2 linked regions of the Caenorhabditis elegans genome follow. The protein of the gene in region 1 interacts with the protein of each later gene in a pairwise test. Each region holds a gene or a part of one and is shown on either strand. Other genes may lie near its edges. The genes, in order: F38B7.3 and vbh-1.

What was found.
Region 2: the proteins of F38B7.3 (region 1) and vbh-1 interact in a two-hybrid assay, tested with the Caenorhabditis elegans proteins (one large-scale study listed by BioGRID).

What each region holds. Positions count from the first base shown.
Region 1 is NC_003283.11:11,547,193-11,552,198, forward strand, and holds F38B7.3 (PH domain-containing protein), read left to right. Parts: upstream 1-1,914; 5' UTR 1,915-2,128; coding exon 2,129-2,162; intron 2,163-2,620; coding exon 2,621-2,757; intron 2,758-2,807; coding exon 2,808-3,007; intron 3,008-3,264; coding exon 3,265-3,380; intron 3,381-3,428; coding exon 3,429-3,931; intron 3,932-3,976; coding exon 3,977-4,210; 3' UTR 4,211-4,421; downstream 4,422-5,006. Other genes in the region: F38B7.11 (CX domain-containing protein), read left to right, coding at 1-154, 204-313, 730-964; F38B7.17 (PheST operon leader peptide PheM), read right to left, coding at 1,038-1,109, 1,731-1,772.
Region 2 is NC_003279.8:3,157,697-3,164,055, reverse strand, and holds vbh-1 (RNA helicase), read left to right. Parts: upstream 1-1,664; 5' UTR 1,665-1,772; coding exon of another isoform or gene 1,773-1,840; intron 1,841-1,886; coding exon of another isoform or gene 1,887-1,920; coding exon 1,921-2,138; intron 2,139-2,266; coding exon 2,267-2,317; intron 2,318-2,353; coding exon of another isoform or gene 2,354-2,362; coding exon 2,363-2,413; intron 2,414-2,459; coding exon 2,460-2,772; intron 2,773-2,840; coding exon 2,841-3,901; intron 3,902-3,948; coding exon 3,949-4,133; intron 4,134-4,188; coding exon 4,189-4,292; 3' UTR 4,293-5,564; downstream 5,565-6,359. Other genes in the region: Y54E10A.6 (B3/B4 tRNA-binding domain-containing protein), read right to left, coding at 1-99, 236-364; mrpl-17 (Large ribosomal subunit protein bL17m), read right to left, coding at 543-818, 871-972, 1,034-1,240.

The sequences.
Region 1 (5,006 bases):
TCGTTTCGGAACTCCCTATCACATAATTAATGAGAACAAAACGTTCATTTTTGACGGAACAAGATATTATTTGGATCCAAAACTCAAAGAAACATTCCAAGATATTTGTGAATACAGTATTCATCCACTCCTTGATGCCACTGAACTTCAAACGGTGACTTTGATTTTATGATATCCACTAAAATGATGGAAATTTATTTCAGACGTACCTTCCAAATATGACACATGTCGATTCTATTTATTATGAATGCTCGTGTTTTGAACTATGTTACGGGCTGAGGTGCAGAATTAACCCGTTTTATTTGATAATAGTGTGAGTTGGAAACATTATGTAGGTTATATGAAAGCACATAGGTTATATGAAAGTAAAAAAGTCCGGCGATTTTCCCCGGGAGTTGGCAAAACTGTCGATTGCATAATTGGCAAAATTAACAGTATTTTTAGGTTTCATGGTGGATCAATTTTTGTTTGTTGAAAGTAAGATCAATCTGTAAATTGTAGAAAATTTCCAAAACCGAGAATTACTAATCACTTCCTTCTATATTAAACGTCTATTACACTAACAATAAAATACGAATGAGATTTGTTTTTGTCTTTAAAAACTTATTTTAAATTTATAGCTAACATAGGAGTAACACTCAACTACAAGACTGTGTTGCTATCTTGATCTATTGAAAACATGAATGATTTTTCTTCAAACCCCCGTTTTCTTAAAATATGTTATTTCAGTTGCCTCACCGTTGGTATCTTCTTTGTTTGGACTACTTCAATAGTCTATATTAAAATCAGAAAAAATCAGAAAATAAAACAAAGACCATCATCTTCATCAAACTCCGAATCAATCGCACTCCCTCCATCCTATAAAGTAGCTTGCTCACATTTGTCAGAAATACCACCATCATATGCATCTATTATGGCAGGGAACGTTATCCTTGCAGAACCTTTAAACTCTTCTATTATTTAACTGAAAATGTGCCTGATGAATAATTGAGTTTGATATGAATTTTATATGATAATAATAAAGCATAATCTGGTAGTCATGGAAATCGAAACGCTTCTTCGTGTTTCTCACGTTTCTCTTTAGTTCCTTTTGTGAAGTGCAAGAACACCTGAAAAATTCAATTCATTGCTATTCTCTTTTCTGTTCTGTATATGTATATGCAGTTTAGTTAGCACAATCAAAAAATCTCCTGAATTATTGCAAATTTGAGAATAGCCAGTTTAAAAAATAAATTTATTTTTGTATTCTCTGTTTTAAAATGTTCAGTAAAAAATTTTATTATATTTAAATGTGGTTCAGAAAATGGGGACTGCAACTCTCAGCAATCTCCTTGTTCGAATTTCCTCCAAAATCAGAACTGCAAGACCGAATTGGAACTTTTCCCACTTCATCTTATTGGTTCAAAAGTGGTCGCCGTGAGTTGATGATTGGTCGTGCAGTTCTCATTCCGGAGGAAGTTCAAAATTAGCGAGTTGAAAAATCACCGTTTGAAGAATTGATTTTTCAAATTTTGCACTTTTTTGTTGTTCATTTGTGGTATTTCAGTATATTGCATTATGCCGAGTTTATTTTAGAATAAAATTCCCCATTTCCTTAACTTTAAATTGTAACACTGATGAAAGATTTGGTACGGTAACTTTGTTTTTTTTTAAATTCAAGTAACACTTTTTGGAATTTTTTCTTTTATATTTTTTAACAATTGAAACTTTAAATTGGGCACGAAACTAACTGTCAGAAACAAACGATGACTCATTCCCATATTCTTGTTCATTACGAACCGAGATTTTCGCAATGTCAGCTAGTTCTATAAGGGACCACTAGTGTGACGTGTTCTGACAACTAGAGACCCAGAGAAGCAAAGATATCATATGTCACCTTTCCATTTCTAGAAATTTCGCATTTCACCCTAACCCATATGTATATCCTTGACATAGAGTGTCCTAGCAACACTTTCACACACTATTTATTTCTGCCTGTTGTCTCGTGGTTGTGTGCTCCCTTGTTTCTCTGCACACTCTATATCCTACACACTATCTAATTGCCATCTGCTACCCTATTTCTCGTGTCTCACAAACACCCTTACTCTGCCATCCAACCTCTGTCAGTTCTCTCAGTTTTTTAGATTATATGTTCTGCACCTCTGAGGCTGCTGTCGATATGGGTGAGTTATGGCTTTTATCTTAAAATTTCTGGAAAGTTATCGAGTGCTAAAGATACCGTATCTTTTTGGATAATGTACAACATAATATTTTTACGAATAGTAAGGCCTGTAGATAATAAATATTTGCGGAGTTTCTTTTGTTTTCAATCCAGCTAACAATTAAGGCTCAGACAGTATGCAAACAGTAATTTTCGCTTAAAGTTTGTTTTTGATAAATTTGATTTTTTCTGCGAAACACATTATCGACAATTATTGTTTTCGTTATGAACAATTATGAACTGTTATTTCACTACAAATTCCATAGTTTTGTATAATTCGTTAACTTTGACTGATGGTTATTTTTTGGGCCAGAAAAGAGTATTTTCAATTATTGCATAAAATTCAGCATTTGATAAACTTTATCTATAAGTCAAATGGCATAGCTGAAAATGACGAAAACTTTACAGTTATGTTTTCAGATAGTGGAAGAGGAGACATTCGTCGTCTGAAAGACGGAGAAATTCTGAAATACACATCAGGAATCTTCAGTTCAAAATGGAAGAAAATGTATGCGGTGTTGTTCAGCGATTCGCGTCTTGTTTGGTTTGAAAATAGAGTGAGTTTCATTGAAAATTGATAAGAACTGCAAATAAAATTATTGTTCAGGGTGATAGAAAACCAAAAGGAAGTGTTCTTCTGAAAGATGTGATACCATATATTTGTGTGGGACTAATGACTGACAGAATGCCTGTGAAAAGACCAAATGTACCAGAAGGAAATTCAGTTCATCATCTCGTTGGAATTGGAATGAATCCAAAAGCTGATCCATGTCATTGGATTTTGTTTTCCTCAGATTCAGATATTGAGTGAGTATTGAGTTATGGCTCTTTTTTGAAAACTGGCTTGTTTTCAAAAAATTGTAGCTCATTTTGGTGAAACTTGACAAAAAATGTTGAATATGATTTAATAAAACCAACAGTTTTTTCTTTTCAATTCCATGAATGTCTCCCTAGTTTTCATTCACCTGAAGACGTAGATAAATTCAATAGTTTTTCAGAAATTACTTGAAAACTTGAAAAGAACTCTGGTAAAAAAAAAGAAAAAAACAACAAAACATTTTCAGATCTTGGTTCACAGAAATCACAAAAACATTACCGAAGCCTGCTAATCCTCCACCAAATGCACCACAACAAGGGCCTGGAGCCCAACCACCACAGCAACAAAACAATGGAGGATATGGTTAGCCTTTTCATCGAATTTTAAATTTATTTTTATTTTATTTTTCAGTTCCCCCAACAGTATATCCAAGTGCTCCTCCTCCAGTTCAGCCAGGCTACAATCCTCGTCCTGCCAGCGGACAGTCTTATCCATCTGGACCACAAGTCCCACCAGCTTATGGACAATACCCTCAACCTGGTTATCCACAACCGGCTGGAGTTCCAACTTCTTCTCACACAACTGTAATCGTCAGAGATGGAGGTTACGGTGGTGGCGGATACGGTGGATATGGAGGAGGTGGTGGAGGATTCGGAAGCACTGGGCTTGGATTCGGCTCTGGCATCTTGGCTGGAAGTCTCCTTGGCTACGGATTGGGATCCATGTGGGGAGGACATCACAGCTACGGTGGATGGGGTGGCGGTTACGGTGGAGGTGGTTATGGAATGGCTGGTGGATATTACTCCGATAATGATACAACTGTTACCAACAACTATTACAATTATGGAGATAATGACAACAATGGAGGAAACAATCATAGTAGTAGCTCGAATGCTATTACAGATGCTCCTGGAGTAAGTTTTAAATTCTATTGAACTTTTTGAATTGTTAATTTTTAGAATGCCGGTGATCAATCTCAACAGCAGTCGGATAATAATTACGGAAATGCTAACCAAGACTCATATGATCAAGGAAATGATTATGGGAATGACTATGGAAATGCTGGTTATGACTCTGGAGACTTTGGTGGCGGAGACTACGGAGGTGGTGGATATGATTCGGGAGACTTCGGAGGTGGTGACTTTGGTGGTGGTGATTTCGGAGGTGGAGATTTCGGAGGAGGCGACTATTAAACTCGTGGATCAAGCTCTTCCTGTTTTTCATTCTATTTTCCCTCAGTTCTCTATTGCTTTGCTTTACAATGTTTATAACTCAACTATTTGTGCCATTCTCAGTTTTGCAATTGTTTAGAGAATTTATCTGTGATAATAAATGTTCATAATGACCCTCATCAGATAGCCTTTAAAATTTCTCAACTTTTTGAAATGCACTTCTTAAAATTAATTTCAATTCTACAATGTTGAAAATTTGGAGAGCTGAGCAAATTTGAATTTTGAAGTTTTCAACATTAAAAAATTGCAATGAAATATTCGTTTTTTTTTCACAAGTTACATACTTGCACCGGGTTAACTTTTCGGATACAATATACCTAGAGCAAATTTTTAAAATTTTTTAATTGAATACTGAAGCGTCTCACCAACTCACAAGTGTAAAGAGATCATATTTTACATAATTTATTATTTTTCAATAGTAATTTTCCACTGCAAAACTGAATTATGACATCACACAAACAGTGTTGTTTTCAAAAGTGAGAAAGTTGGATCACATTTGGAATTTTGGATTATTTCTCGAAGATAAAGTTTTTGAAAAAGTTCTGTGCCTACAAAACTCCTAACACATTTTTTCTACGTCTAACTGAAAGATCAAAAAACTTCTCCTTGAGAAAAAATATTTTTGTTCCTAAATTGAATATATTTGATTTTCAGATGATCATAATCCACGGTTCACTGAACTGTGCAAAATCACCTGGCCCATGTTTTTCTATTCTGGTTGGACCGAGGTGAAAACATTCTGGGTACGTAAAAATAA
Region 2 (6,359 bases), on another chromosome or scaffold:
CGGCAAAACCAAATGCATTAGATTACTGCAAGATCTAATCGAAGACGAAAGATTGTGAAGAGAGCATCCAGTGAGAGAAAGGAGATTCAATTGGGACATCTGAAAATAAATTTTGGGTTTTGATGGGAATTTAGTATTATAAAATTTACAAAAAAAAAATTTGTTTGAAATTCCGAGAAAAAAATCGTTTTTTTGCGGAAATTCACGGATTTTCCAAAAATTAAAATTCCCTTACACTCTCGAAAACCCGTTTCTGGGAAAGATTGGCCGCTTCGGTGACCGAATCGATTCGAACATTTTTGATGACAATTTCGAAGCGATTATTCTCGATCGCCTCTATTACCTCCGGTTGCTCTTCGAACATTATTCTGAATTTTAATTTTTTCGGTGAAAAAGTGGGAAAAAAATTAGATAAAGATATAAATAATTGAATCGAACCACAAAATTCGTTATAAATATTGAAAATGATTCAAAGTTTAATATATAAAGAAACAAAAATTCTAGGATTCTAGCGAAACAAAAACAAAAAAAATAATAAAAATTCATTGAGATTTCTTCGGAGTATCCAGCTTTTCCTGAAGATTCTTCTGGTGATTCCGAAGGGCGTCAGCTAGAAGAACATCAAGAATTGATTCAGATTGATCTACGCGGTCTGCTTGTATTTGTGGAAATGGATTTCCGTCGATTTCCAGAACTCCGATATCGTATCGCTTCCAGACTTCTCGCTTATTCTGGATAAATTGTTGAAGACGTTGTGGTGGAAGTCGGAATAGTGATGTGAATGGAGAATCGCGGTCTTGGAATCGTGGAACAATTACCTGGGAAAAAAATGATTTTTTTTTGGCGAAAAATCTTTTTAAATCAATTTACTTCATGCATTTTCGTAATTAAATCCTTCTCAGGCAGCCACCATTCCATCATTTCGGCTGTATACTCGTCAAGTGGTCCTCTTTCGACACCCAATTGAATTAGCTGAATTTTATTTTTTTAAATTTTAATTTTCTCACTCATTTTCAAACAAAAAACCCCTCACCCTCTCCAAATATGGCCTGGCCTCGACGGCGCGGTTCCATTTCAGCTCGGCGCGTTCCTCACGGACAGTTCGGGTGACGATGCGACGGAGCACTTCGAGACGAGCACGACGGCTTGGCTCAATTCCTCCGGTTTTCAGCTTTTGTGGTGCGTGACCAATTGTGACGCCGATTCTTGGCAGTGACACTGCCACTCGGTGAGCTGACATTGCCTGGAAATCTTTTTTTTATTAATTTTGAGTCGGAAATTCAAAAAATTGAATAAAATCCCATATATTTCAATAGAAATTCTAATAAAAATTAAATTTAATTCTATTTCGCGAAATTTCGGAGCGTTTTTTGCGTTGAAACACGCTTCCTCACACACGCACTTTAAAGGCGCACCGATTTACACGGTCGGCGGGTCTCGATGGGAAAACAAACGTCTCTTCATCATTGCGTGCTGAATTCACTTCTCTCATTTCCGCTTCTTCTCTACGGTTTTTCGTGTCGATTTTCTCCATTGTCATCGTTTTTCGCATAATTTTCGAGTTAAATTATGCGAAAAATGATAATTCGTCGTTTATTAATGATAAATACTCATTTTCTCCGTCTTAAAACTTCATTTGTTTCGCAACAAGCCAATAAAATGAATTTCAGATACATATTCTGTAATCTCGACGTCAATTGGGTACAAAATCGGTTTAGATTCGCCGATTTTTCTTTTTCGAATTCCGGGTTTCCGTTTGATATAGTCTTACAATGAACACACAATATTATGCGAATCACAACGGTCAACAACAGCCGCCACAACAACAACAGGGACAAGGGTATGATTTCGAAACGGATTTCAAGATTTCAACCTCATTTTTTCAGCTGGTCATCCTCGTATTCTCAACAGAGCAATAATATGCCTGCAGGAGGCGTATTTTACAACGGATTCGCCAACGGAACTCCGTCAAACAACGGGTATGCAATTCAACAACCTATGGTCCCAGGGATGGGGCAGATGATGGGTGCTCCTCATGCTGGATTTGTTCCTTCTCCTTACTTTCAAGGGCAGCCACAACAGCAGCAGCATTTCAAAATGGGCTACTCAGAAAACTTTGAAAACTTCGATGAGAATGGGTGAGAACAGGTGTATAGTGTGCTGGTGATTGTGTTTGCCTCTAACCATATGCTTGTTCTTCATTTCCTTTGTTGCTTTTTGTTAACCTGAAATGAGGCTTCTCTTTTATCAAATCTTGAAATTGCAGATCGTCTGGGTACAACAACTTCGCCGACAGCGGAAACGGTTTCAACAACAAGTATGTTTAAATCTGAATTACAATTTTTATTAGTAGACGTTACAGTGGAGCCGAGAGTAATCAATGGGGAGGAGCACCTGCCGAATATTCCGAAAGGTGAGATTAAAATGTTCTGATTATTAAACGCGATATGGTATTTCAGCAATTTGTTCCACCGTACCGACAGTGGCATCAACTTTGACAAGTACGAAAATATTCCCGTAGAAGTCAGCGGAGACTCCGTTCCAGCAGCCATCGAGCATTTCAATGAAGCTGGTTTTGGGCCGGCTGTGATGGAGAACGTGAATCGCAGCGGATACTCCAAGCCGACTCCTGTCCAGAAACACTCGATCCCAACTCTTTTGGCTAACCGCGATCTGATGTCTTGCGCTCAAACCGGATCTGGAAAAACTGCCGCTTTCCTGCTCCCAATTATTCAGCATATTTTGGCTGGTGGTCCAGATATGGTCAAGCCGGTAAGTAGGGCAAACCTGCGATCCATCAAAATTCGAAAAATTTATACAAAAAACTATTTTAATTGCAGCCAGCGTTCACAAACGGTCGTCGCACTTACTATCCATGTGCTCTGGTTCTCTCGCCGACTCGTGAACTTGCCATTCAAATCCACAAGGAAGCTACAAAGTTCAGCTACAAAAGCAACATCCAGACGGCTATTCTTTACGGAGGACGTGAAAACTATCGTGATCAAGTGAATCGTCTTCGCGCTGGAACGCATATCCTCATTGCTACCCCAGGTCGTTTGATTGACATTATTGAGCAAGGATTCATTGGACTCGCCGGATGTCGTTACCTGGTTCTCGACGAAGCTGATCGTATGCTTGACATGGGATTTGAGCCGCAAATCAGAAAGATCGTTGGCCAAGGAATGCCACCAAAGACTGCTCGTACCACAGCTATGTTCAGTGCAACCTTCCCGAAGGAGATTCAAGTTCTCGCTAAGGACTTCCTCAAGGATAACTATATCTTTTTGGCAGTTGGTCGTGTTGGATCAACGTCTGAAAATATTGAACAACGTCTGCTTTGGGTCAACGAGATGGAAAAGAGAAGCAATCTGATGGAAATTCTGATGAACGAGCATTCTGAAAATCTGGTTCTCGTATTCGTTGAGACAAAGAGAGGAGCCAACGAGTTGGCGTATTTCCTCAATCGTCAGCAGATCCGCTCTGTTTCAATTCACGGAGATCTCAAACAAATTGAACGTGAGAGAAATCTCGAGTTGTTCCGCTCTGGACAGTGCCCAATTCTTGTCGCAACTGCTGTTGCCGCTCGTGGATTGGATATTCCAAATGTGCGCCACGTCATCAATTATGATCTTCCTGGAGATTCTGACGAATATGTTCACCGTATCGGTAGAACCGGAAGATGCGGAAACCTTGGAATTGCCACCAGTTTCTTCAATGACAAGAATCGAGGAATCGGTCGTGATTTGAAGAATCTGATTGTCGAATCCAACCAAGAAGTCCCAGAATGGCTTCATCAAGTTGCTGCAGAAGGACGCATTGGAGGTGGACAACGTGGTGGAAACCGTCGCTTCGGAGCAACCGACTATCGTGTTGGTCGTGGTGGTGGTGGATCGTTCGGAGGGTAAGATCAAATGAGCAGTTGAAAATTAATATTGCTAATAGTTTCAGAAACTTCTCAAATTACAATTCCGGTGGAGCCACTGGTGGTTTCGGAAGTGGACCCGCCTACGGTGGTTCGTTCGGAGGAGGAGCACCACGTCGCCCGTTCACGAATGGAGGATTCGGAGCTCATAGCTCTCTGTCGTCTACCTCTAATAGTGGTGGCGGTGGCGGCTTCAGTGGCCCAAGAAGAGGTTTGTGGAGAAAATAAAGAAAATAATGCAAAATTAATCAATTCCTTGATTTCAGGTGGCTTCAACAGTGGAATGAACCGTCAGGGTGGTGGCGGTGGAGGTTTTTACTCAAACCCAGGCCAGGCTCCAATTGATCATTGGCAAGCTCCACAAGCTTAAACATTATTCGCAACAAACGGAAATCCGGAATTCCACATTAAAGTCTCGCACCATACTCCTTTTTTTATAATTTAGTTGTCTTCCTTTTTTCCTTTACTCGTTCCATCCATATTAAAATAATCATTTTTTCCTCCTTCTCTTTTTTATTCTGTCTCCTTCTTTAAAGCGTGGCTTATTCCTCTCTTTTATTTCATATTATTCTCTCTGTAATTGTGTTTTAATCATTCAATTTTTTTTATCTCAGAGCTTTAAGTGACGAATATTTTAATGGATTCTATGCGTGATCTAGGGTTTTAACATTGAATTTTATTGTATCCTCCCATTTCCCCCAAAAATGTTGTTGTTGCCTGGCAATTTGTACCATTGTTTTGTTTCTCTTGGTGTTGTTTTCTTGCATCAACAATACCCCGAGAGAATCAATGCAGTTTTATCTCGTAGTTTTGTAGTTTTTCTTATGGCCGCTGGATGGCATCCGATGCACTACCGCGTCGGGGACTCAGCACGGTTTTTCTCTATTATCGGTTGTTTGTAAGCTTTGTTGAAACCCGTTTACATAGTGCTGCCCGTTGTTGATTCGTGATATTGTGTGTATTTTTAATTAATTTTTACTTGTTCCCCAATCTGATCCCAACCATTCGTCTTGCAATTATTCAATTCTTAACTTGGTATAGCTGCGGGTGTCTAATTATATTTTCATAATTGTTCGCCAGTATGATCGTCAGTTTATCATTAAATAATTGCGAGTTAGGTATAAAAAGCTTGGTTGCTCTCTTATGATAATGATCTCCCCCCACCTATCCCCAAATCTCTATCATTTTTCCCTCCAACTGATGTTTTTTTTGAGCCAAGTAATATTCATTGTTAGTTGTTTTTTCTCCCTCTAAACAGTATACACGAAAATCATAGAACCAACCATTTCATAATACTCAAGTTGCACTATCATATGCGTCTCGTCAATAGCTAATTCCAAACATTTTCTAGGCCGGTCTAAGCCGTTGAACGTGCAGTCCGTTTCCACGCTTTCTCTTCAATTTCTATTTGCCAATTTCTCCCCAACCAACTGCATTCTTGTCCAATATGCACAATTTTTCTTTTTTATTTTCATCGTCCCTCTCCCATCATTTTTCTCTTTCCCTCGTCACGCACTTATCTCTGTCACTATGAGATTCTTATCTTCTTTTTCCATCTTGAATGTTCACTTTCAGCTCTTTGAGAATAATCTTAAAAGCCCTTGTGGCCTGACAAATAGTTGAATAAACTTGGTATCTGGTACTTGAAAACATTTATACGCGGGCATGCTGATGCTCTCGTTGCATATAAGAAATGACCGCAAGAAAATTATCTATCTTCACAACATGTCAAATGCTACGTGGTCGTTAATAGTCTAGTCCTAGGCCAAAAAATTAATGTATTAAATATTGCCTCATGTCAGTCAAATTTTCATTTCTATTTGAAAATTTGTAATTATGATTCCAGCAACTTGTAGGCTAAATTCCCGGGAGTTTATGTACCTTCGTTTCCGATGTCATTCAACTTCGAAAAAAAAAACAATCAGCAGTCTTCACCCTCTCCATTGTTGTCGAAATCCTGAATTAAAAACAATTATCATCAATGAAAATTGATAATTCTTGCCTTTCAAATAGAAAAATGCCGGTCTTCTCCTTAAAAATCTGCAAAAGAGGGGGGAAAAATGAGTAAATATGCTTTTGTGGGAGACTCATCATCAAATGAAACCAATATTGCTCGTTTTTTCAATTAAAATTATATATTTAATGATAAAATAATAAAATAAAGCATAGAAATGACACAAATAATATCTACGAAAAGCGAAGGAAAACTGCTCTCAAAATTCGGTATTATGGGAACACTAAATCATGAGAAATCCGTACTGCGCATTTCATTTGAAGCGCAGATATCTCTTAGCGAAAACTACAGTAATTCTTCAAATTACTACTGTAGCACTGTGTCGATTTACGTGCTCGGTTTTCGAAAATAATTTATTACGATACACGAAACTATAAAAATGACAAATATAATACGAAAAAGCGAAGGAAAATAGAAAATCGC